3 linked regions of the Elephas maximus indicus genome follow. The protein of the gene in region 2 interacts with the protein of the main gene of each other region in a pairwise test. Links are inferred from orthologs where the notes say so. Each region holds a gene or a part of one and is shown on either strand. Other genes may lie near its edges. The genes, in order: AKAP5, PPP3CA and C21H16orf74.

Region 1 (7,373 bases), on a different chromosome or scaffold from region 2:
AGTTAAGCAATTTGTCCAAGATTGCAAAGCTAGTAGGCAGCAGAGCTCCAATTCAACCATGGATTGTGTTTCCAAAGCCCATTCTCTGAAGCACTGTGATAAACTGGGCTGTAAGATTTTCTTCAGAAGATGAATTGCTTGAAGATGCTAATCTATACTAGATACAAGTACTAGCTACATTAGTCAACGTTTTATGACATCGTTTGGTGGTCACTTAATTAACCTTAAAAACCTTACAGCTCAACAACTCATAATTGAACCAAGATTAGACGGTTCTTGCTATTTTAAAACCAAGTTTTTGAAATTCTTTATATTTTATTTTCTTGGTTCTGAAACTCATTTAAATCCAAATATAAATTGATAAACTATGCAGTTGGCAAATTGATTAGTTATATATAAATATAAAGGCACTTTTAAAAATAATTCACAAAATGGTATAACGATATCAAAGAGCAGAAATGTGAGGGGAAACTTTAATAAAAATCCTGCGAATTTTTGTTGATGGATGTACTTAAATAAAGGGCTTTTTCCTTGTACTATTTTTATTACTATTTTTTATGTAAGTCTCTCAGTGGTGAGCTTTGTTTTGTGTAGTCCTTCATTGTGTAAACTGGAGAAGGAACTGGAATCCTGAAAATCAGTTTATGATACAAGTAAATATTCTCTTAGTTTGGGTGTTTCATATTCCATGCCTCTGACAGTCATTCAGCTTAGAACAATGATGGACCTAAAATAAGAACATCTTATGTCCTCATGTAATGCCTCAGTAGGCACTAACTAGAACTGCAGCTGACTTTAGCTGTAAGTCTTCTCACCTCTTGTGAGTTCTCAGTGCCGGAGCGTTTTTATTAAGCAGGTGGTTTATTACTGATAGAAGTCATGAAATTAGATCATGTTCAGGAATTTTTTTTTTTTTTTTCAGGAATGCATCACTGGAAACTAACCTGTAATGGCCAAAGACAATTTCTGGACACGCTGTCTTGAATGTATATCACACTGCAGAAATAAAACAAATATCCAAACAGAAACCTAAGTGAAATGGGGGGGGGGGGTGCAGTTTGTAGACATCACAACTTTGCAGAATATGTTAGACTGCATATGATTCGCCCCTAACCTGCAAGGGTAGTTTTGTCACCTCAGGAAATCTGAAGAGCCTCTTCAGTCATTCCCTGACAACACCGCAAGTTTAATGCCACAGGAAACACCCACCTTCCCTTCATCCCGCTAGCGGAGAAGCACGGAGGCAAAGAGCAATCATTTCCTAAGGGAAGCAGCGAATCTTTCCCGGCACCAGATACGGACCCCGAAGCTTCCTCCTGGAGGAAGGACACTGTGGTAGGAGACAGCGCGCAGGGTAAAGTACTCAGAAAGGAAGGTGCTGGGGATGTGGAACAGACAACCCAGCTTCGAGCTATCTGCAACATTATAATGACCAGAAACTCAGGATCACATTTTCCCAAAAAAGGGTAAAGAAGGAAAAGAGCAACCGGCAACCTATGCTTTTCGACGAGGCGGAACGCCGAGGTGGGTGGGCAGCGCTGAGGGTCGCCTGGCTGGCAATTTCCTCGGTTCAGGCTCGGGGTTCCTCCTCGAGGGCCCGAATTCCCTTGTCCAGCGGGGCGGCTTCCGCCCAGTAGCGACCCCAGACACTGCCTGGGACCCTCCTCTGCCGCAGCCTCCCCGCCCCGCCTCTACTTACCGAGGGCGGCTGGGGTCCCTGGCCACCCTGCTCCCGAGGTCGGCGCGCGCGCGGGGCCGGGGGTCCAGGCAGCGGGCAGCCGCGGACAGGCGGGTGAGGGAGCGGCCGGCTGCACAGGGACCGCAGCCGGGCGGAGCCCCCTCCCCAGCCGCGCCAATGTGCGCGGAGCCGCGGGCGGGCGGGCGGGCGCGGGGCGGGGCCAGGGCGGGGGTGGGGGGCGGTGGCGCGGCGCTGCGGTGGGAGGGGCGGGGGGAGGAGGGGCGGGGGGGAGGTCCGGGGCCACCTGCGAACGGTGTGTCCTGCCACGTGGGAGCAGACCTTCGAGCTCCTAGCCCCGTCCCGAATCCCACTGCGGATCACATCAGGGCAAGGGCCAGGGGACCATAGAGAAACAGCAGGAAGATGGGGAAGGGGACGATAGTACTAAGTCCCTATTTTCTGAGACGCAAAATAGCGAAATCCAGCTTCAAATTATAGGCAGTACCGTTATAATCCACCCCCCTCCCCGAATATTTGAGGACACCCGACCCACTGCTGTAGTTCCCACTCACACCGGCCCTATGGGACGGATTAGAACTGCCCCATAGGATTTTCAGGGAGCGGCTGGTGGATTCCAACTGCTAATCTAATGGTTAGCAGTCGAACTCTTCACCACTGTGCCACCAGGGCTCCATTTAAGAACACTAAAAACCCGCTGCCCTTGAGTCGATTCCGACTCATAACGACCCTACAGGACAGAGTAGAACTGCCCCATAGGGTTTCCAAGGAGCAGCTGGTGGATTGAAACACCGTCCTTTTGGTTAGCAGCGGATCGCTTAACCACCGCACAACCAGGGCTCCTTTAAGAATTTGGTATGGGCTGTGTTTAAAAACACAGCCGATACTAAATTTTAAAAGCAGGGTTGGAAACTGTGCATAGAGATCCCGTTTGGGTAGAAAATGACATAGTATATTAACCAAAACAAACAAAACTTTCCCAGGAGTGGGTTTGAGTGTAATGAGGTAATTATCAAGGTTCACTGTCGGTCTCCCAGAAGCCCCAGGCCCAGACGCTAGTCTCCCGGGTCTAGGAGGTCACCTGCGTGCCTAAGAACGCTGTGATCTGCAGGAGTGTCTACATCCATGCTGACCAGGGCTGAAGGGCACAGGGACCCAGCCTGGTCTATCTTTTATACCTTAACATATTTCTAAGTTAAGTCGAGGTAGCTTGCGAGTACCCACGTTTTCCTTTAGGTCCCTCTAGGTGTCTGCTTTGTCAGGCTCTTCTCAATCAAGCTGCTTTCCTCACAACTCCACTCGCAGAGAAAGGCATCTACCTTCTGTCTGATTGGCGAGGTTGTGTATTTTCATGCATTTCCTGAGCCTTTTATCTAAATGAATTGCTGGCTACTTTGCAAAGCACCCCAAGTACTTATTATACACATAAAGTGTTAACTTATAGCCAATGAAAGATGTTGCTATGGGAGCTTAAGGTGAATTACTTTGGGTTTAATATTAACTGCAAGGGCATTCCTGAGCTGGAGCTGTGAGTTCCTGACAGATGCACCACACATATTCGAGGACAGAATGTTCCAGGAAGGGCCACAACTCCCGCCTCCTCCTCCAGCCCCCCTCTCAGCACACCATCCTGAAGATGAACCTATTAAAGTGGAGTGAAGAACGACTGGGCTTATTTCCATTCAATAGGATCATGATCTTTGGGTGGCTAAATCTGTGGACTTTCTACAGGATTATATTTTACCTTTCTGTAGTCTCCTTTGAGACTTACTGAGGAAAGAACTCAGGACACAAAAGCAAAGTGGAACCTAAATTGTCAAGCTCTTAAATTTACAGGTAGAAGTTAGACACAAGAGCTGTAATACAGGAAAATCTGTAAGCATCTGGTTTACTTGTAATTAAGAATTCAATTTAGCCTTGTTCATTTCACAAACACAAGTTGGTGAAAATATCCTTCATATCCTCAGGTGGGCTGCTAACCCTGCTGACTGCTAGTTTTGAACTTTAAACAAGCTAAAGGAAAACCATGCCATCCATAACCAATGGAGATGCCAATCCTAATTGAGAGCCAAGGTTTCTCAATTTAGCACACAAGGGAGTTGCCATTTCCAGACAAAAATAAGATGAGCTTATCTACATGAGGGGAAACCCTGGTGGTGTAGTGGTTATGTACTACGGCTGCTAACTAAGAGGTCACCAGTTCAAATTCGTCAGGCGCTCCTTGGAAACTCTATGGGGCAGTTCTACTCTGTCCTATAGGGTCGCTATGAGTCGGAATCGACTCGATGGCAGTGGGTTTGGTTTGGTTATCTACATGAGGAGAGGGCAGAATAGCTGTCTTACTAAGAGGTAATGGGAAATGAAACAAGGGACAGGTTAAAACAATAACGGCCACCTTAGCGACTTGTAGATCTTACTCCATTTGCCTTTCTTTAAAAAAAAATGCTGGGGAAAGGAACTGGAAATGGCTTTGAAATAAGACGTAATTTTTTTAGTCAAAGGGAATTTCTTTAAGGTATTTTACATACAGTTCATTGCTGCCTTCCACCACAGACACACACACTTACACACCAAGCCCACTGCCACTGAGTGGATTCCGAGTCATAGCAACCCTATACAACAGAGTAGAACTGTCCCATAGAGTTTCCGAGCAGCTGGTAGATTCGAACTGCTGACCTTTTGGTTAGCAGCTGAACGCTTAACCACTGTGCCACTAGGGCTTCACTTACATACAACGATTTTTCGTTAGGATGTGACTAGAACCCAATGCCGTATCTATGATGTTTTTCAAAATGTATCCAGTACCTCACACATGAAAGAAACCTGTCATTCCTGAACTCACTTAAGTGACAGGCTGTTTAAGCTATTACCCATATCGTTGTCTACTACTCCATTAGTAGCTTTTCATTATATAATGGGAAACAGGCTAGAAATATACCTCTCCAATTTGATGAGAAATTATCCTACCTACAGCTTATCTTGTTAATATCACCAGATACAGTGTTCCAATAAAATAGCTTGCATATTTATCTGAATAATACTGATCATACCATGTCTCCCCATCCTAGTCTCTACCCACCTACAGCCCAGGCCTGTAGCTACCAGAAGTGGTTTATTATTCCTTATTCACAATCCTTACATTTTAGAGAGAACCTTCTGGAAACAAACCCTCCAGCCCTTTTCCCATGCACACCATTAAGTGAACGTGTGACTCCAGTCCTCTCGTGGTTTGACCTGCTCATGGACACCGTGTGGGCACTGTCAGGGTTGCACCAGCTAACAAGAGCTCGACAGTAATTCTGCTGCCATCTGCTTTACAGCGAAGACACAAACGCTGTCTCTTTTGAATTGAGTATATATAAATCACCAACGCACAGCAAAAGCCATCTGAGGTGCAGCTTAAAGGAGCTCCCATCTGTTTATCAGTAATATTACTAATTAGGGGAGGGAAGCATTAGCAGCCCAGAGAAGGGTAGCAGATGCAGGAAGGCCAGTAATCTGGACTCCTAGCCCCCAGCTAAAGGTGCTGAATCTTCTCTGGCAACCCATACTAATAGATACCCCAGGCATTTATGCTTTTGTAGGTGTTTAATATAGGTCTTATTTTTTGTTTATGATCTTTTATTACGGAAATGGCGTCTGTAAGCTTGTGCTTGTGACACCTCTTCTTTATCAAAGATTGAGAAGTCATTTCCACAAAACTCATGCATGCCAGACAGATCAGCAGCCTCCCTAACCTCTTCATTTCTCTCCTCTGCTGCTCCTACCTTTTATCACCTCTTCCTTCTGAAGGGATGTGAAATGGGCACAGCTTTCCATCTCTCAAAAAATGGGAAGTCCATTTCAGTACAGCCTGGCCAGAAAGCATTCAAGGAAGAGCTGTGAGAGGCAGTATGATAGTAAAGAGCAGAGGCTTTGGAGTCAGATGAGGTGGAAACAAACCCCGGCTGAGGCAGGCAATAGCAATGCAATCTTGCAGTTTGCCTTTCTGTAAAATGGGGATATAAACCTAATTTACAGATTTGTTCTATTAATGCTTATTATCCCTACACACTTCCAACCAAAGGTCTGCTTCCATTTGGAAGCTAGAGGCCACCCTCTGAGCAATTTCATTGCTAGGAATTTATCCTATAAATTATTTATTATAGGATAAATTCCTTTGCTAGGATAGGAATTTATCCTATAATTTATTTCCACACAAAGTGAAAAGATACATATGAGAATATTCACTGCCACAGTATTTGTATTAGCAAAAAACATCAAACAATGGTGTCTATCGGTAGAGGACTGTTTAAATACTACGCAGTCATAAAGATCCACTGAAACGTGGATCTTTAACTGATGATGAAGTAAGATCTCCAAGATAAACTGCCAAGTGGAAAAAGCTGTACCATTTGGATTTGTACTGAAGGCATGTTTTACCTATACTTAGGAAAATTTTTGCATCGGTGATGGTGCATTCCTTCCAAGCAACAACTGATAAAAAGTTTGGAGTATTTATTCTATTAGGGCTTTGTTTATAATGTTTTGCTTATAAATGTCACTCTTCCCTTTTCTTCCAATTGTGCTCACCACTCTATCAGTATTATGGATTTAAATTCACATCGCTTTAGGGGGGATACAAGGACTACATCCTTTAAGATGAGGCATCTTTAACAGTCACTATGTCTGCCAGTAGACATGCTTCCTTCATGCATCTACAAACTGAATTCTCAGCAAATCCCATTCCAGATGAAGTTTTACAGAACATTTTAACAAATGTCAGAAATAATGAACTCTGCATTTCCGTGCGAACAGGACCCAAGTGATGCTTTGGATGTATCTGACAATACTGAGTGCTTACAATGTGCCAGGCACTGTGCAAATTGTCTTCGCTGGCTTGTTTCTTTATCTTCACAACCACCCTCATGAGGTGTTTATCAACAGTGCCCACACTTCCATGGGGAGGAAATGGAGGCAGAGAGATGAGTAAGGCTCTAAGCAGTAAAACCAGGCTCTGTACTACTCATGACCCCTTTGCCATACACCTCCGAAAGCACTGCTCCCATTCCTTTGGACTGTAAAAGTGACTGAACTACAACACTGATGTGAATCCAGAGGATTAAAAACAATAAAACCAAGGACACCAGGAAAAACATAATACATGCCAAGGTCAGTAGTGTTTAGCACTGGTACCCATGAGGATGCAATGTCCTCTGGAAGGATCTAAAGCAGGAAGACAAGGGGTTTGAAAAGAGAGTAAAAAAATGGGAGAGGAAAAACATACAGAGGATAAAGAACAAGAGGAGAAGAAGGGCTATTTGAGAAGAAATCTTCAGCAGGGAAGGGGAGAGCCCGGGCACACAGCAGAAGCTAAATAAATATTTGCTGAGCCAAAAGGGTAGAAAGGTTAGTGATACATAACTAAGTAAGGTTAGTGATATATGACCACTCTTCTTGGGAAATTTAAAAATAAACGGTGCAAAGTCTATTAATTTAAAAATAAAATACAGGAAATGGTGCTAAAGCTATGATAGAAAAGAGAGTTCCAAGGAAGGTCAGGACTAAAACCTGTATGAGCAACACTTCCTTGATGAAAATTAAAAAAAAAAAAACATAGGTATATGGCAAAAAGGCAAGTCCCCCTCTACACTCTACATCCATCCTAACCATCTCAGGTGGTCTCCTGACTATGGGC
Region 2 (7,834 bases):
ACATATTTTCCATTAAACACATATATTCAAGTGAATATGTTATTTCTTAGAAGACTGATACTCAAACTCGATTACCATCCCTAATAATTAATTGTATAAACTATATGCACTGGGTTTTATATGTATGACAAAATGTTAAAACCAACCTTTGATAATGCTTTTTAAGCTGACAATACAAAGTCTGTAAGAAAGCAGAAGAGAAAGAGTAGCAGTGTGCTCACCTTAAAATCACGACTCATCAACAAAACTTTTTTCTATAACCAAAATTTCACATAAGGATTCCTATCAAAACAAGTGTAAAAACAAGTTTTCCTATTTTGAGTGTATACGCACATTTGTATTTCAGTTCTGCAAAATATGTAAACTAAAGTTTTTAGAACTTATAATAATATAGTCTTGAAAAACACAAGACGAAACATCAGCTATCTAATTAACTTGTAAAGGCACCAAGCCACAATGTATAGACAATTATTTTTTCATTTTTCACTTGATGACAATTTTATGTTTACACTAAGAATTCACATTTTGTGATTTAAAACAGGGAATGTGACCTTATGTATGCACACCAAGTGTTTTTTAATTGCCAACATGTTTATTGCTATCATTTGAATTATAAGCTTCACATTAATTTGTTATGAAAATAGGTGCCCTTAATATACAGATTGGAGCTACATCTACACTTCACACATCAGGGAAATACATTTTATTTTCTCATATTTCAGAAAAAATCTTAATTTTTGAAAATGGCAACAGAAGCCACTGATAGAAAATGCAGCCGTTTTAATGAATTTGAACTGACTCTTCACGTGAGGATATATGCATGCATAAAAAATAATAGTTGTGTATCAGTAGTCTTATTTCAAGCCATGTGCAGAGCTATTTCTTCGTTATTTTAATGGGTCAATGAATACTGGGTGGAAGGCAGGAATGGTTCTAATATAACTAAAATATTCTCTTTTCTTTTTTCTCTCAAAAAAAAAAAAAAAAAAGGACACAATTTCCCCCATCACCAGTACCACCATAATGAAGAAAAAAAAAAAACTTAAAAAACTGGGCAAATCTCTATGGAGCGAGGAACATTTCTGAACCGCCCCCCACATGGACTTTTGTTTAGTAATCATGGTCTTCATCCTACTGGGTTACTTCACATCAAGTGCTCAAGGCTCAAATGGTTCATGGTTCAAATGACCTTATAGCCACATTAGATACTACCCCTGGCCCCATTAGATGCTCTGGCCACACCAGGTACTACCCCTGTTCCAAACACACACACACTCACACCAGCCTAAGATGCCTGTTTGCAATTTCAGAGGTCCCGCTCGGTGCACAGCCAATGCCCATTCCTGCTTTGCTTGGTCCTGACCCCAGGAAGGATGGATACTACTTCATCCTGCTGAATTTGCTCTGTTCTCTCGTCCTTCCAGGATTCACAGGGTGGTTCCTCCCCCACTCCAATCCGGAACACAGAGAGGACAGAGGATTCCCTCGTGCAATAATCAGAGGGCGACCACTGCCTGCCCCACGCATTCAGGTTTCTCCACCCTAAAAAGCCCAGAGCCATCCCCACTAGTATATAACCCTGTGGCGGGAGAGAAGACACAATAATACAAATCGAAGAGCCCATTACAACGGGGGTGCCAGGGACACGGAGGAGGCGACCGGGGCGAGGTTCCCGCTGGGAAGGTGTGCACTAGCGAACGGGCACCCCTTCAAGACCGGTGACAGGTCGTCGGGGGCGGCTAGGGGCGACAAGGGAAGTCTAAGAACTGCTATTCAAGTCTTTCATCTGGCGTGTGGGGAAATCCCGTGGCGGCGGGGACTCTCGGGCCGTCCCCCGCCTCCTGCACCCTCAGCGCGCCCCCTCTGCTACCCACCTCCTGGCTGCCGCCCCCGCCTGGCGCGGGAGGAAGCGCCGGGCACCCCCCACGCTCTCCCGCTCTCTCGCGAGTCCTGTGCAGGCCCTTCCAGAGGGGAGGGGGAGGGGGCGCGGAGGGAATTGCTGCAATGAAGCGCCGAGAAAACACTTCCCGAGCAAGGCAGTCGGTGGAAAGCCACGGCCACATAAAAATGCCATATTAATGTTTAAAAAGCCATAAATCACCCCTCCCTCTGCAAAAGAAAACCATAAACCCGATCCCATGCACGCCTGCGAGCAGCCACCCACTTCCTATTTCTGTCACAGCAGCTACACCCTACCAGCAACCACCCCCCGGGCGCCCCCTCCCGCCACCGCCACCGCCACCCCCGCCTCCCCACGGCTCAGCCATTTGCCAGTTGACACCCCCATAAATAAAAATGCCCCAGGCGGCGCTGGGTGGGAGGCGCGGTGGAAGGCTGCCGCGGGGGAAGGGGGTTCGAGGGTTGCACAATATCCTAGAAGGTCCCTGGCTAGAGCTGGGAGAGAACCCCGGGCGGGGGAGGGGAGGCGAGCCACCCGGGCGCCTGCGGCACACGGTGCACCCGGGCGACCGCGGCGCGCCGCTTACCTTTCACCACCCTGTCGGTCGTCGACAACTTGGGATCAATTGCCTTAGGCTCGGACATCTCCAGCCGCCGGGGGACAGCGACGCGCTGCTCGTCCGTCCGACTGCACACCCCGACCGGACTGGCGGGCCAGACACTCAATGCCGCCGCTGCCGCGCTGCAAACCGCTCGGCTGGAGGTCTGGGCTCTGAGCTGGCTTTAAAGTTACTGCCTTCTCCGCGCGTCCCTCCTCCTCCTCCTCCTCCGCCGCCGCCGCCGCCGCCGCCTTCACTCCTCCTTCGCCGCCGCCTCCAGCCCCACCGACTCCGCTCCGGGCTGCGCGTGTGTGGTGGTTATTTATTTATTTTCTAAGCACGCCTCTCGGTTCTTCTTTTATTCTTGGGGGAAGGGGGATGGGGAGGAGAACGCACACACAAGCACCCACCCGGCACGGAGACCGGGCACCGCGGAATGGAGCCCCACGCGCGCACACGGCCGGGATTAAGACCGATCACATGGGGAGGGTCGGGGGCGAGGAAGGAGAGGCAGGGCCACCGATGTCAGTGCCACCAGCCGCGCCTCAGCGTCCCCGGCGGCGGAGAGGCGGCCGCCTCTACTGCTGCTGCTGCCGCTGCTTCCACACACCGAGCGACGCCTCTGCTGCCGCTGCCGCTGCCGCCGCCGCAGCTGCCGGAGACGTCCCGTCGCCGCGCTCGCCCGCGCTCGCCTCTGCCTGCTCGCGCCACTCCTTCACTCACACAGGCACAGCCGCGGAGCTCGGCAGACACAGTCCCGGCGCAACCTACCCTCAGCCGCCGCCGCTGCTGCCGCCACCGCGCCCGCCTCCGCCTCCTCCCCTTCCTCCTCTCGGCCCCCGCCTCTAGCTCCCCAGCAGCCACCTCCTCCTCCCCGGCTGTCCCCGGCCTCCCGCCCCCACGTCGGAGTCCCAGGCGCGCACTGGCTGACGCGCGCGTCACTCACTGCCTGGTGGCTGCCTCTCGGCTCCTCCCGCCTCCTGCTCCTCCTCGCCGTGTCCGCCCCCTCTCTGTTTTCTCCCGGCGGCCAGTCCAGTGGGCCTGCCACCTCCACCATCTAGTCCCTGCTCAGGTGTCACTATTGCTAGCCAGCTGGGCTTAGGGAAGGAGAATGGCCAAAGGGTCGCGGCCGGGAGGAGAGGAGCTCTACCGTGCCACCCCCACCCCTGTCTGGCCTCCGCCCGTCAACCCTGCATACACCCCCGCGCTGCTTTGGCAACTGTGCCTGGTCGGCTGGGTTCAGCCGCAGTGTGAGTAGCCAAGTGCCGAGGGTGTCTCCGAGTGTGTGCGTGGCCGGAGAGAGGGCAAGAAGGAGGAGGCAGGGAGAGGAGAGGAGGGGTGGGGGCGAGAGGCAAACGTGAGAGGGCGGAGGAAGAAGTGCTCGGGGAGCTCCAGGGCCTTTGGCGCAGCTGCTGTCGCTGCCCCAGCTGTCCAAGGAGGATCGCCAAAACGACGACGAATAAACAACTTACCTTGGGGAGACGGGCTCCGCCCTGTGAGAGGTGTACAGTTATTTTTTATATCGGGGCTTTGGTGTTGGCGTTGTTGTAGTTATTATTGTTTACCACCGGTGCATCCACACCTTCTGAGGAAGTGGCGGTTCCAGAACGTTGCGGACCAGGGACGTGGCGGAGGGTGCGGGGCACTAAGGGACGCTGGAGCGGGCTATCCAAGGAGAATGGTAGGGGAGTCCGAGCGACTCCGGGCAACTCCGAATCACCCGGGCAGCCCTGCAGTCTCCCGGGAGAAATGAGGGGGGCGGGAGAAACACTGGAAAGGGTAGCCTTTCCCCTGTTCGCACACGCAAGCAACCACTGGTCGGGACAGGTGACACTACACCTTCCTTCCCTGCAGTTTCCAATCACCCGGCACCCACTTGGTGCTCCCTTTGCCTGCAGGGCCTTGGAGCCCAAGGCAGATCCCCACTCAGTTCCCTCCCCTAGGAAGGAGAGCAAAGGAGAGGATGCAAGGCGCAGGAGGGTGGAATGTTGGAATGCTTTCTGACCCGCTGTCCTCGAGCCACAGAATCTGAAGAGAGGGTCTCCCTCTGCCAGAGGTCACCTCTGCACAGCCTCTCTCCTTGACCAAAACCAACTCAGCACCCAAGTCCAGGCAAAGAGGGTGAAGTTTCTTTGGGAGTAATGAAAGTTGCATAAATTTCACACCACTCTCCACCCTTCCTGTTTTACTTCCAAATTCCTTTAATACCTGGTTGTTCCTATTTTCTGAATTGGACCGTTAGTATAATGGGACCGGTAAAAGGTTTAGGGAGGTAGGAGGTGGCCTACAAAAAAAGTTTTTGGAGATGGATTAGATTAAGGCCCAAACTTCTAATAAAGTTTTAGGAACCAACTGATGGTGCTGGAGCAGCTTGAGTGGTGTGGCCTGCAAGAAGTTGGAGCACACGTCAGAAGGTCAATGAGCCTTTGCGAAGGCCTTCAAGCAAAAGGAGACTTGATGCAGGGTGTGTGCCACCAGCACAGGGAGGCTGCCACTGGCCCCAAGAATCTGTTGCCCAATTCTTAACCCCAGGATTAAAAAAAAAAATTGCCGTCTAGTCGATTGACACTCATAGCAACCCCATAGGACAGAGTAAAACTGCCCCATAGGGTTTTAACCCCAGGATAGTGTGTGGTAATAGGCAGACAATTCATTCAATAACTGTGCATCATGCTCCTTTTTTATGCCAGACGCAGTGGTAGGTACTGGTTTAGGGGAGGGGGATGATTAGAAAATTATCTTTGGCCTCAATAAATCCTAGGATTCACTGCAACTCTCAGAGAATAAGAAAACATAAACTCTGAGCCGCCACTGTACCTCCTCATGGAGAGGTTGTTGAAAACAGCCTCCTGAGCACAGGCAGAGCTAGTTGCTGAGGCAGATTTGGGGAGTTGGTCCCTCGCCAGATGGCACAGAGTGAGGGAGGGATGCCAAGGCCTGTGGGTGAAGAGGGCTTGCTTGGAGAAAGAGCAGAAAACCGTGTCCAGGGATGCTCACTTCCAAGGCCAAGACATTCTCTTTCACAGGACGCCAACAGAGAGGCTGTGCCCACTGTTATTCGGACTAACATTCACCAGGTGTAGGAAAAACACCTTTGAATCAAAATCAGAAGGCTTAAAGTGTCAGCACCATAGAAAGGTGTTATGATATAGGTAGGAAATGAAGGCACACCTTTCAGGCACACCCTTTAGTCCACTACAACTCTAGGACGCTCCTACTTGAGGTATGTGTAGGGGAAAAAAAAAAAATGATGACTCATAATCGCTTTACAGCCCATCTTATTATCATCAAGTACTTTTACTTCCTTTGTGCATCCTTCCATAACTGTTGCAACACAGACACATCTTTATTAAAAAAAATTGGACCCTGCTCTAAGGAAAAGTAGCAGTAGTATATGAACTAGGGACTAATTTTGTCCACGGAGCCCTGGTGGCATTGTGGTTAAGAACTCACCTGCTTGCGAAAATGTCAGCAGTTCAAATCTACCAGCTGCTTCTAGGGGAAAGTTCTAGTATGTCCGATAGGGTTGCCATGAGTCGGAATTGACGCAATGGCAACGGTTTTTTTTTTTTGCTTTAGTTTTGTCTATATACTTGGCCTGCTGAAACAGACAACCAAATCATCTTTTTAATTCAGGTATCTATTATGATCATGTTTTTGTTCTGCTAGACTGTCCAAGCAATCTTTGATCGTGTTATCATGGCATAAGGTTAAGGAGTGCTAGTTAAGTGATATATGGCTGCTAACCGAAAGGTCAGCAGTTCGAATCTATCAGCTGCTCCTTTGAAACCCTATGGGGCAGTTCTACTCTGTCCTGTGGGTCGCTGTGGGTCAGAATTGACTCTACTGCCAAAGGTTTGTTTGTTGGGTTGGTTGGTTGGTTATTTGTTTGTTTAAGTGGGCTGCTAACCAAAAGGCTGGCAGGTTGAACTCAACCAGCAGCTCTACCGGAGAAAAAAAAGACGTGGTAATCTGCTTCGATAAAGATTACTGCCAAGAAAAAGATAACTTGCAGTCTGCCAGAAATTAGAGTTTCTACTTCCTTAAAAAAAAAAAAAATTTAGCGTAGAATAATTCTCTCTTGAAAGTGTCTGACTAGCTAGGGATTCCACTTCCCAGCCTGCTGTCTCTTGCATCTAAGTAGGTCCCTGTGACTAGTTCAGGCTGAAGTGTTTTATCACTTGCAAATCAAGGCAGTTATGCAACAGATAAGCATTCTCCAGGCTATTGGTCCCTATTGCCTAGCTGAATGCAGGGGCTTCCAAGGCTTGGGGTCATGCAGGACCAGGAGATGCAAAGAGCTAAGTCCCTGACTCACCACATGGAGGAAGGCTGTCCATCTATGAGGAAAGCCTGCATTAGACTTTTACATGAACAAGAAATAAACTTTTATTATATTACTCCATTAAAATGTGGGAATGTGTTTGTTATAGTAGCTAGTATTACCAAACAAATTAATATATAAATGTTATCTAATTATTATATAAGTTCCAAAATTCAAATTTATTGTTCGATTATTATTTAATAGAACTACCAGAAAACTAAAAATATTCTTTTTTTTTTTTTTTAACGCATAAGCATCAGACTGTGATTTTCTGTTAATGAGTTACTCATTCACCGGTTGTGTTTCAAACACCTGTTCCGTGCAAGGCACTGTAATAGATGAGGGATAAATGTATGGACAAAGAAAAATTCAAAGATTTAGTCCCTTCATTCAATGATTTTAGAATCTTATTATATATGAATTATACATATTACCTTTGAAAAAACTTAAGTGTAAGTGTTACTTTCTCTTGCTACTGGAGAATACAAACTAATGTTACTATTAGCTTCATCAAAACTAGTCATGAAAATAAATATGTATAAAAAAACAAAGTATTCAGGATTTGGGGTAATATGTCGATTTAAATGCTACAAGTTGCAACTTACGTCCATTGGTACAGATCACAGTAAATTAACATTTTAGTTTGCTATTAAGTGCTCTCCTAGACCCAGAGGCTTTTTTTTTTTTTTTAAGAAAAGCAATAAGGGATTTATATTTATATCCTGTTTTGATAAGAACTTGCTTTTAAAATTTTGGAATTTCTATCAGTTCCTGGATGAATATACTATCATTTGGACATTAAGAGTTGAATAATAACTTCTGAGTATGGCTCACCTGAGACATGCACTTTGCTTTAAGTAGTTGGTGGTAGACAGGAGTACGTTTGACCTATTTTCACTTGAGTTGTTGGACCATGATGCTGAAGAACCTGCAGAGTAGACAGCCAGTCCTGATGGGACCATGTATGTGTATGGGAGTTTGATTTATAATCTGAAAGCTGATGCCTCTGACA
Region 3 (7,498 bases), on a different chromosome or scaffold from region 2:
ACCCTATGGATCACAATGATTTGATCCACAACTGATCAAGGGGATGGTACAGGACCAGGCACCATTTTGTTCTGTTGTGCATGGATTTGCCGTGAACTGGAGGTCTCCACCAGGTGGGGGCCGACTTGACCGCAGCTAGTGATAACAACGTGGCAGAAGCTAGAGCAATCTTCTAGGACCCCCAAATACAGATTCCCCCCCATAAAAATTATTAAGGTGTAATATACATAGGCACACATCAAACGTATACACCCACATCAAGAAGCAGGATGTTTCCAGCCCCCAGGAACACCTCCCCTGCAGCGTAAACATTTTTCATTGGCCTATACCCTTCAGAAAGGTGCATAAATCATATAAGCCTTGAGCTGCATGAATTGTCACACAGCGATCCCAAGGGGGCAGTGGGCAAGTGCTTTGCTGAGAGTCACATGGCCAATGGGTGGGTGGACCGTGGCTGGGCCCCAGGTGTCCCAGACCCTGCCCAGCAACAGAGATCAGGTGGGGGTTTCGGTGGGTGCCCACCCCACCCCCATCCTCTTTCACTTCCTGTCAGGCTATGGTGTGACTGTCCCAGCAGCTCCCCACCTCCCTGAGAGCAGCTTGCCTGGCTTGCAGTCTTGCAGCCCTGTGGGTGCCACTCCCGATTGCACTCTGTGTACTCATGTTAACACTTGAAGCATCCATGCACGGCTCCTTTGGCTGGAATTGCAGGAATCCTAATCCTGTTGCAGAAAGAACGTGCTTTTTCTAAAGAAGGAAGAACACCAAGATGTGCTGCGTGCTTGCTGGGAGCCCCGCATGGCTACCCTGTCAGTATTTCCTCCCTGTGTCTGCAGAGAGCTGAAGGAGTTTCCCTGACCTTGCACAGCTAGGGTGGAACCTGGTTCTGCCTGTTGAGTCCCCCCACCTAGACTAACTGTCACATTCTTCAGCTATGACTCTGCCCTTTCCTCCATCCTTAAAGGACGTCTTTGTTAAGGAGGTGAGGCTCATGGTGAATTATGAGCTCAGAGACTTACTGTGACTTCTTCTGGGAGGTGGTTCTACAGACATCAAGACTGGACTCCACTGCTCTCTCACTTTCCCTCCCTGGGCCTCCTCATCTGGGGAAGCCCAGGCCTTAAGAGATCAGACTACCTCTGCCTATGGTTGCCAGATGTAGCAAAGAAAAATACAGGATGCCAATTAAATTTGAATTGGAGATAAGCAAGATAATTTTTTTAGTGCGTGTCCCCATACAATAGTTGGGTAGCTTGTATTTTATCTGGCAACCCTAACTCTATGGGCGCTTCCAGCTCTAGAGTCAAATGATTCAGTCCAGGAGGGCTTCCTGCACACTCCCAGACCCCCACGATCCCCCAAAGTAGTAACTTTTCACCAGACATTGGAGTCAGAATTCTAAAAGCAAGGTCTGTGTCTTCAACAGGCTGTGCTAAAGCCTGGTTACTTCTCTCCTTGTACAAAGAGTTTTATTTTACAAAAATTTTAAATTTATATTGTTGCAAAATATGTATATATATTACACAACATTTGCCAATTCAGTGCTTTTCGTGTTGTGCAACCATCACCAATAGTTGTTGCCAAATTTTTCATCACCATAAACAGAAACTCAGGGCTTCCTAAACAATGACTCCGCTTTTTACCCCTCCCTCCCGCCCCTGGTAACCACAGGTAACCTTTAGTCTCTACACATTTGCCTATTCTAGCTTTTTCATATAAGCTCAGTCATACAATATTTGTCCTTTTGTGATTGACTTACTTCAGTCAACATAATGCCTTAAAGGTTCGTCCATGTCATCGTATGCGTTGGGACTTCATTTCTCTCTATGACTGGGTAATATTCTGTTGTGTGTATGTACCACATTTTGTTTATCCATTCATCTGTAAGAGTTTTCTTATTTTTCTTTTCTCTCTGCTTGGAAAACCTGTGGAGGTTGAGCTGTCTAGCAGTCACTGCTGCGGGCTGGCAGTCACTGCTGCGGGCTGGTAGTTGGCGGCCCCTATTTTCAAGGCTATTTTATAATTGTCCCTGTCACCCGAGATAGAATCTGAGGCCATTTGGCTTTAGAGAGATTATTCTGCCTGGGTGCAAGAACGAACCTGTTCTACTTCAAGCTGTTGTGCAAATAATTAACAATCTGATATTTGGAAGGGAACATAAACAGCCTGATTAAGTATGAAAGGGAGGTTTTTTACACTCCTGAGAACGTGTTTTTTTTTTTTTTTTTTGAGAACGTGTGAAAGGGAGAAAACACACCTAAACCAGCAGTTCTCAGGGGCCTCGTGGCTCCCAATGCCAAGCTAAGGGCGCCCCCTCCCATTAAATCTTCATCTTTTAATGACAAAAGTATGTAGTATTTTTGTGTGTAACAAACTGAATGTCTGTAGAACGGTGGCGTGTAGAACAACATAGCTGGAGGCGTAACTGTGGTGCTAATATGCTGCAGCTTACTAGCTGCGGACCCTTGGGAAGCTACTTGACTGGGGATGGTCGTAATGTGTATCTAGGAGGATATCGTTAGGGTTCCATGCTATCATTTTTATGATGCGCTTGACCCAGGACTTGACATATTAGAAGCATTAGGTTGATATCAGCTGTTGTCATCACGATGATGGGGTAAAAGTAGCACCACGCCCCATGGTTAGGAGTCTGATAGGGTTTCCACTCAGTGGGATGTAAAAGCCAGCTTTAACTCCTCCTTTCCAAAGCATCCCAAGCCAACCCAAGGGGTGCACTCTCCCTTGAAAGCATCTGCCATCTCTGCAGGGGGTGCCCTCCAGCCTGGCAGCCCCCCATCACAGACTGAGTGGACGAACTCCATCTACACTCTGAGTAAATCCATTCCTGGAGGACATTCTCCCACATAGAAGAGTTGGAACGGGAGCTGCAATGTGGACTTGGGGCCACACAGGGGGCATCCCGAGTGGTCTTCTAGACATGCTCAGTAGTAATACTACATTATTCACATTGTATGATGATGATTTTCTTAGTGTCCTGAAGCTGCCAAAACAAAGTACAGCAAACTCCTGTTGTTAGGTGCCTTCCCGTGGTTCCAGCTCATATTGACTGTGTGTACAACAGAAGGAGACACTGCCTGGTCCTGCACCATTCTCACAATTGTTGCTATGTTGGAGCCCATTGGTCAATCCATCTCCTTCAGGGTCTTCCTCTTTTTCACTGACCCTCTACTTTACCAAGCATGATGTCCTTCTGCAGGGACTGGTCCTTCCTGACCACAAACTGGGTGGCATTCAAGAACAGAAATTTATTCTCTCACAGTTCTGGAGGCCAGAGGTCCAAGTCCAGGGTGTCAGCAGGGCTGTGCCCTCTCTGAAGGCTCTAAGGGAGGCTCTTCTGGTAACCCTGGGCGATCCTTAGCTTGAGGCTGCAGCTTAACTCTATTGTCTTCCCTCTATCTCTCTTTTATAAGGACACCACTCAGCTTGGATTAGGACACACCCTGCTGTGGTATGACCTCATATTAAATGATAACATTTTCCAGGACCCTGTTTCCAAACCCAGTCACATTGACGAGTATAGGGGTTAGAATTTCAACATATCTTTTGAGGGGACACTATTTAATCCATCAGATGATGATGATGACAACACTGATGACTGTGTCTCAGGCCCTGTCCAGGCTGGTGGCATGGCATTTCACAGAGGAGGTCACTGTGCCTGGATTGGAAGTGTCTAAGGTCACACAACCCCTTTTTCCCCTAGGCCAATCCTTCTTCCTGGAGCCTGCCTTCTTCCTCTTGTCCTTGTGGGGAAATAGAATCACCATGAAAGTGACAGCAATATGTGTCGTGATGAGAAAACTCAGTTTTTGAAAATTCTCCATTTGGGAATTTTAAAAACCTGAAGTCGATTTGCAGTACATAGCCATGATCCCTTGGTGCCTGACCCTGGTGCAGCTTGTTGTCCCATTGATCACCTGAATCCAAGCTAGGGCCACTCCTGGTTCCCACCCAGTGCACCAGAGGTAGCTAAAAATAGGCCCAGAGATGTGGTTCAACCTGGCTCTTTTTTATTTTTATTTTTTGGCCCACAGTGTTTTGAGATGGGTGTTTAGGCATTTTTGAAGTTGTAAGACAGCTTTGGAGGTCAAAGACTATGGGTTCAGGATAACTTTTCAGGGATGCGGTGGTGCTTGGAGCGGCATATTAAGAACCTTACGTCTGCCAGGGTGGAAGGGAGTGCATCTCCCACTGTTTCAAGGAACGTTCTAGGAAAATGCCAAGGAGTTCCAGTCTGCCTGGTGGTGGAAAGTGTGGACTCTGGCATCAAAGTACTGAGTTCAAATCTCGACTCCACCACTTGCCACCTGTATGACCTGTGCTACTAGGAGATGTTAAAGCTGTGTTTCTCAGGATCTTTTTTTTTTTTTTTTTTCAGCCCAGAATGTTTTGAGATGGATATTTTTTAACCTATAAGGCAGCTTTTGGGGGCCCAAACCTATGAGCTCTGGGTAATTCTTCTGGGAAGTGGCACTGTACAAGTGTTTCACAAGCTGAGTTACCAACCAGTAAGTAACCTCTCTGTGTTGTCAGGAGGGATCAGTCTCTGGAGAAGGATATCATGCTTGGCAAAGTACAGGGTCAGCGGAAAAGAGGAAGACCCTCAATGAGGTGGATTGACACAGTGGTTGCAATGATGGGCTCAAGCATAACGATTGTAAGGGTGGTGCAGGACTGGGCACTGTTTCGTTCTGTTGTGCATGGGGTTGCTACGAGTCGGAACCAACTCGATGGCACCTAACAACAACAACAACAACCTCCATACCTCAATTTCCCCATCCGTGAAATGGGGATGGGAATGGCCCAACCTCATGGGGCTGCTGTGAGGATGAACTGACCATGGATACATGTGAAGGGCTAGGACAGGCCCAGTGCCTATAGAGCTCCAGAGGCAGAACTCTGATTCCCACAGACTCTTCCTGCCAGCCCTGGCCCCTCCTCTCCCCTTGAGGAAGGGTGCACTCCTGGGTGTCCCATCCTGCACATTACAATCACCGGGGAGCTGATTCTAAAAACCCTGGTGCCCAGGCCACACCTAGACCAAATACCCCGGAATCTCCGGGCGTGGGACCCAGGCATCGGTATTTTTTAAATACCGATGAAAAACTTTAGGAAATGGATAGTGGTGATGGCCGTATAACATGAATGAGATGAATGTCAATGAGCTGTATACATAAAAATGGTTGAAATGGAAACTGTTTTGTTATATATATATATTTACTGAAGGGAGCAGTGGTGCAGTAGTTAAAGCACTCAGCTGCTAACCAAAAGGTCGGCGGTTCAAACCCATCAGCCACTTGGAGGGAAAAAGATGTGGCAGTCTGTTTCCATAAAGGTTTACAGCCTTGGAAGCCCTATGGGGAAGTTCTACTGTATCCTACAAGGTCACTGAGTTGGAGTGGACTCGAAGGCAGTGGGTTTCTTTTTTTGGTTTATATACATACCACAGGAAACCCTGGTAGCACAGTGGTTAAAAGCTATGGCTGCTAACCAAAAAGTCGGCAGTTCGAATCCACCAGACGCTCCTTGGAAACTCTATGGGGCAGTTCTACTTTGTCCTGTAGAGTTGCTATGAGTCAGAATCGACTTGACAGCAATGGTTTGATTTGGTTTTTATACTTAACTGCAATTAAAAAAAAAAAAATGCTCCCCGGATGATTCCAGGTGCAGCGAGGGGCCATGCTCAGTGAATCAGTCGGGGTCTTGTTAAAATGCACATCATCTCTCTCCCCCTTTCCTCCCCCTACTCACTTTCTGTACCTGAATGCCCTGGTCAACCCAGCCCTACCCTTGCTCCCCAATCCTCCAGTCAACCTCCTAGTGGGTACCTCCAGTGGCACCTGCTACAGCCCCCAAAATCCAACATGGCTGAAATGGAAACCTTATTTAGTTCTTCCTTCAGACTGGCTGCTCCTGGCTGTCACCCCCACCTAGTCTGGCATATCCCCCAGACTCCCAGCTGCCAATCCCTTGGCAGCATCCCTGTCCTGTCATCTTCATGGTCAGGCTCTGTGATTCCTGGCCTGGACCAGAGCATCTCAGACCTCAAGGAGCACAGGGATCCCTGGGGGTCTTGTTAAAATGCAGGTTCTGGTCCTTTGGCCTGAGAGGCAGCATTGCTGACAAGCTCCTTGGGGTGCCAGTGGTGCTGCTGGGCCAGAACCAGAAGGGGTGGGCAGAAGCCTCCCTTAGGAGCCCTAGGATGGGCTGTGATAGCCAAGGAAGGTTTGGCAGGGCCATCGGGGTGTTCTTGGCCTGAGTCGCTAGTCTGGGGCATCTTGCACCTCCCAGCAACGGGCCTGCATTAGGTCCCTGCCACGCTCAGTTACCAGCTGGGGCAGCTGGAGGGAAACACAGCCTCCCTGTAAGCCAAGAAGCAATGGATCTCTGAGTTGAGTGGGGCCCCTAGTCATCACGTGGTTGTCACACGCCTGAGTCCAAGATCAGAGAGGTGCATCTTCACGGTCGCCCCCCACCCCTCTTTCCCAACCCAGCGTGTCATGGGCCTGGCTCACAGGTGGCTGTCCAGTTCTCTGTGATTCAAGGAATAACCTCAATGGCTCCCCTGTCAGCTCAAAGACGCTGGGACCCTCCAACATGGAAACAAGACCCCTCAAGAGTGAGGTTCCAGTATAGGGACAGGGCAGTACTGGGTCCGAATCCCAACTCCTCTTCTAGTTAGCTGCATGACCTTGGGTGGGTGATGTCACCTCTCTGCACCTTGATTTCCATGTCTGCAAAATGGGAACAGTCGAAGCACCTCCTAGGAGTAAATGTCACGGGCACGGATGGCGCTCCAGTGCTGTCAGATGTTATTTTATTTTCCATGTACTCAGCATGCTAGGGGTCGTCGTGTAGCAGAATTATTGTTGGGGACCTTGATTGGGTCATTAAGGTCTATGGGTTGAGGATCCAGCGGCTGTTATAGCTTAATCCCCAAGTGTCTGAGGGATCTGCATCTTACGAGAGGGGCAGTGGTGGTAGGGAAGAGGCGCTAAGACTGGTGGGCTTTGCCCCACTCCAAGGGTCCTCATAGTCCCTGGGGCTGCTCCCCAGGAAGGCTGCAGGGTTTTTGTCCCACATCATCAGCCCCGGCCACAGCCTCACCTTGAACTTTGCCCTCCCTGCAGCAGCGGCTGCCACACTTGCCTTCAGTATATTTAGCTTTGATGCACTTGAAAGTTTCCATCAGCCCAGACTTCCCTCTCTGAGGCCAGATGTAGTCAGTCAGCAGGCGCCGTGACCTCACAGCAGCCGGTGGTTTCTCTGGGCCACTATTTCCTGTTCTGCACCCATTAGGTGTGCAACGACACAAGTCACCCACACTGCCCGCCCCTCTCTGAATCTGTCCTCTCTCTGCAGGCTTGCAGGGGTGCCGACATGGGGCTTAAGCTGTCCTGCCTGAAAGGTAAGACGTGGGAGCTCCCCCACCAGTTCTTACGGAGGGCCTGGGGGCTGGAGAGGGTGGGAGGGTAAACCC

Evidence for each region.
Region 1: the proteins of PPP3CA (region 2) and AKAP5 interact in binary tests that used the Homo sapiens proteins (3 or more experiments, as listed by UniProt). The link is inferred for Elephas maximus indicus from reciprocal best matches to the Homo sapiens genes PPP3CA and AKAP5.
Region 3: the proteins of PPP3CA (region 2) and C21H16orf74 interact in binary tests that used the Homo sapiens proteins (3 or more experiments, as listed by UniProt). The two-hybrid records come from large-scale screens. The link is inferred for Elephas maximus indicus from reciprocal best matches to the Homo sapiens genes PPP3CA and C16orf74.

Annotation. Positions count from the first base shown.
Region 1 is NC_064828.1:76,766,854-76,774,226, reverse strand, and holds the start of AKAP5 (A-kinase anchor protein 5), read right to left. Parts: upstream 3,073-7,373; 5' UTR 2,921-3,072; intron 1,849-2,920; exon of another isoform or gene 951-1,848; coding exon of another isoform or gene 923-950; intron 1-922. UniProt on the Homo sapiens protein: Multivalent scaffold protein that anchors the cAMP-dependent protein kinase/PKA to cytoskeletal and/or organelle-associated proteins, targeting the signal carried by cAMP to specific intracellular effectors.
Region 2 is NC_064823.1:51,533,402-51,541,235, reverse strand, and holds the start of PPP3CA (protein phosphatase 3 catalytic subunit alpha), read right to left. Parts: upstream 3,024-7,834; 5' UTR 2,545-3,023; coding exon 2,487-2,544; intron 1-2,486. UniProt on the Homo sapiens protein: Calcium-dependent, calmodulin-stimulated protein phosphatase which plays an essential role in the transduction of intracellular Ca(2+)-mediated signals. Many of the substrates contain a PxIxIT motif and/or a LxVP motif.
Region 3 is NC_064839.1:51,496,344-51,503,841, reverse strand, and holds the start of C21H16orf74 (uncharacterized protein C16orf74 homolog), read left to right. Parts: upstream 1-4,450; 5' UTR 4,451-4,526; intron 4,527-7,380; 5' UTR 7,381-7,398; coding exon 7,399-7,426; intron 7,427-7,498.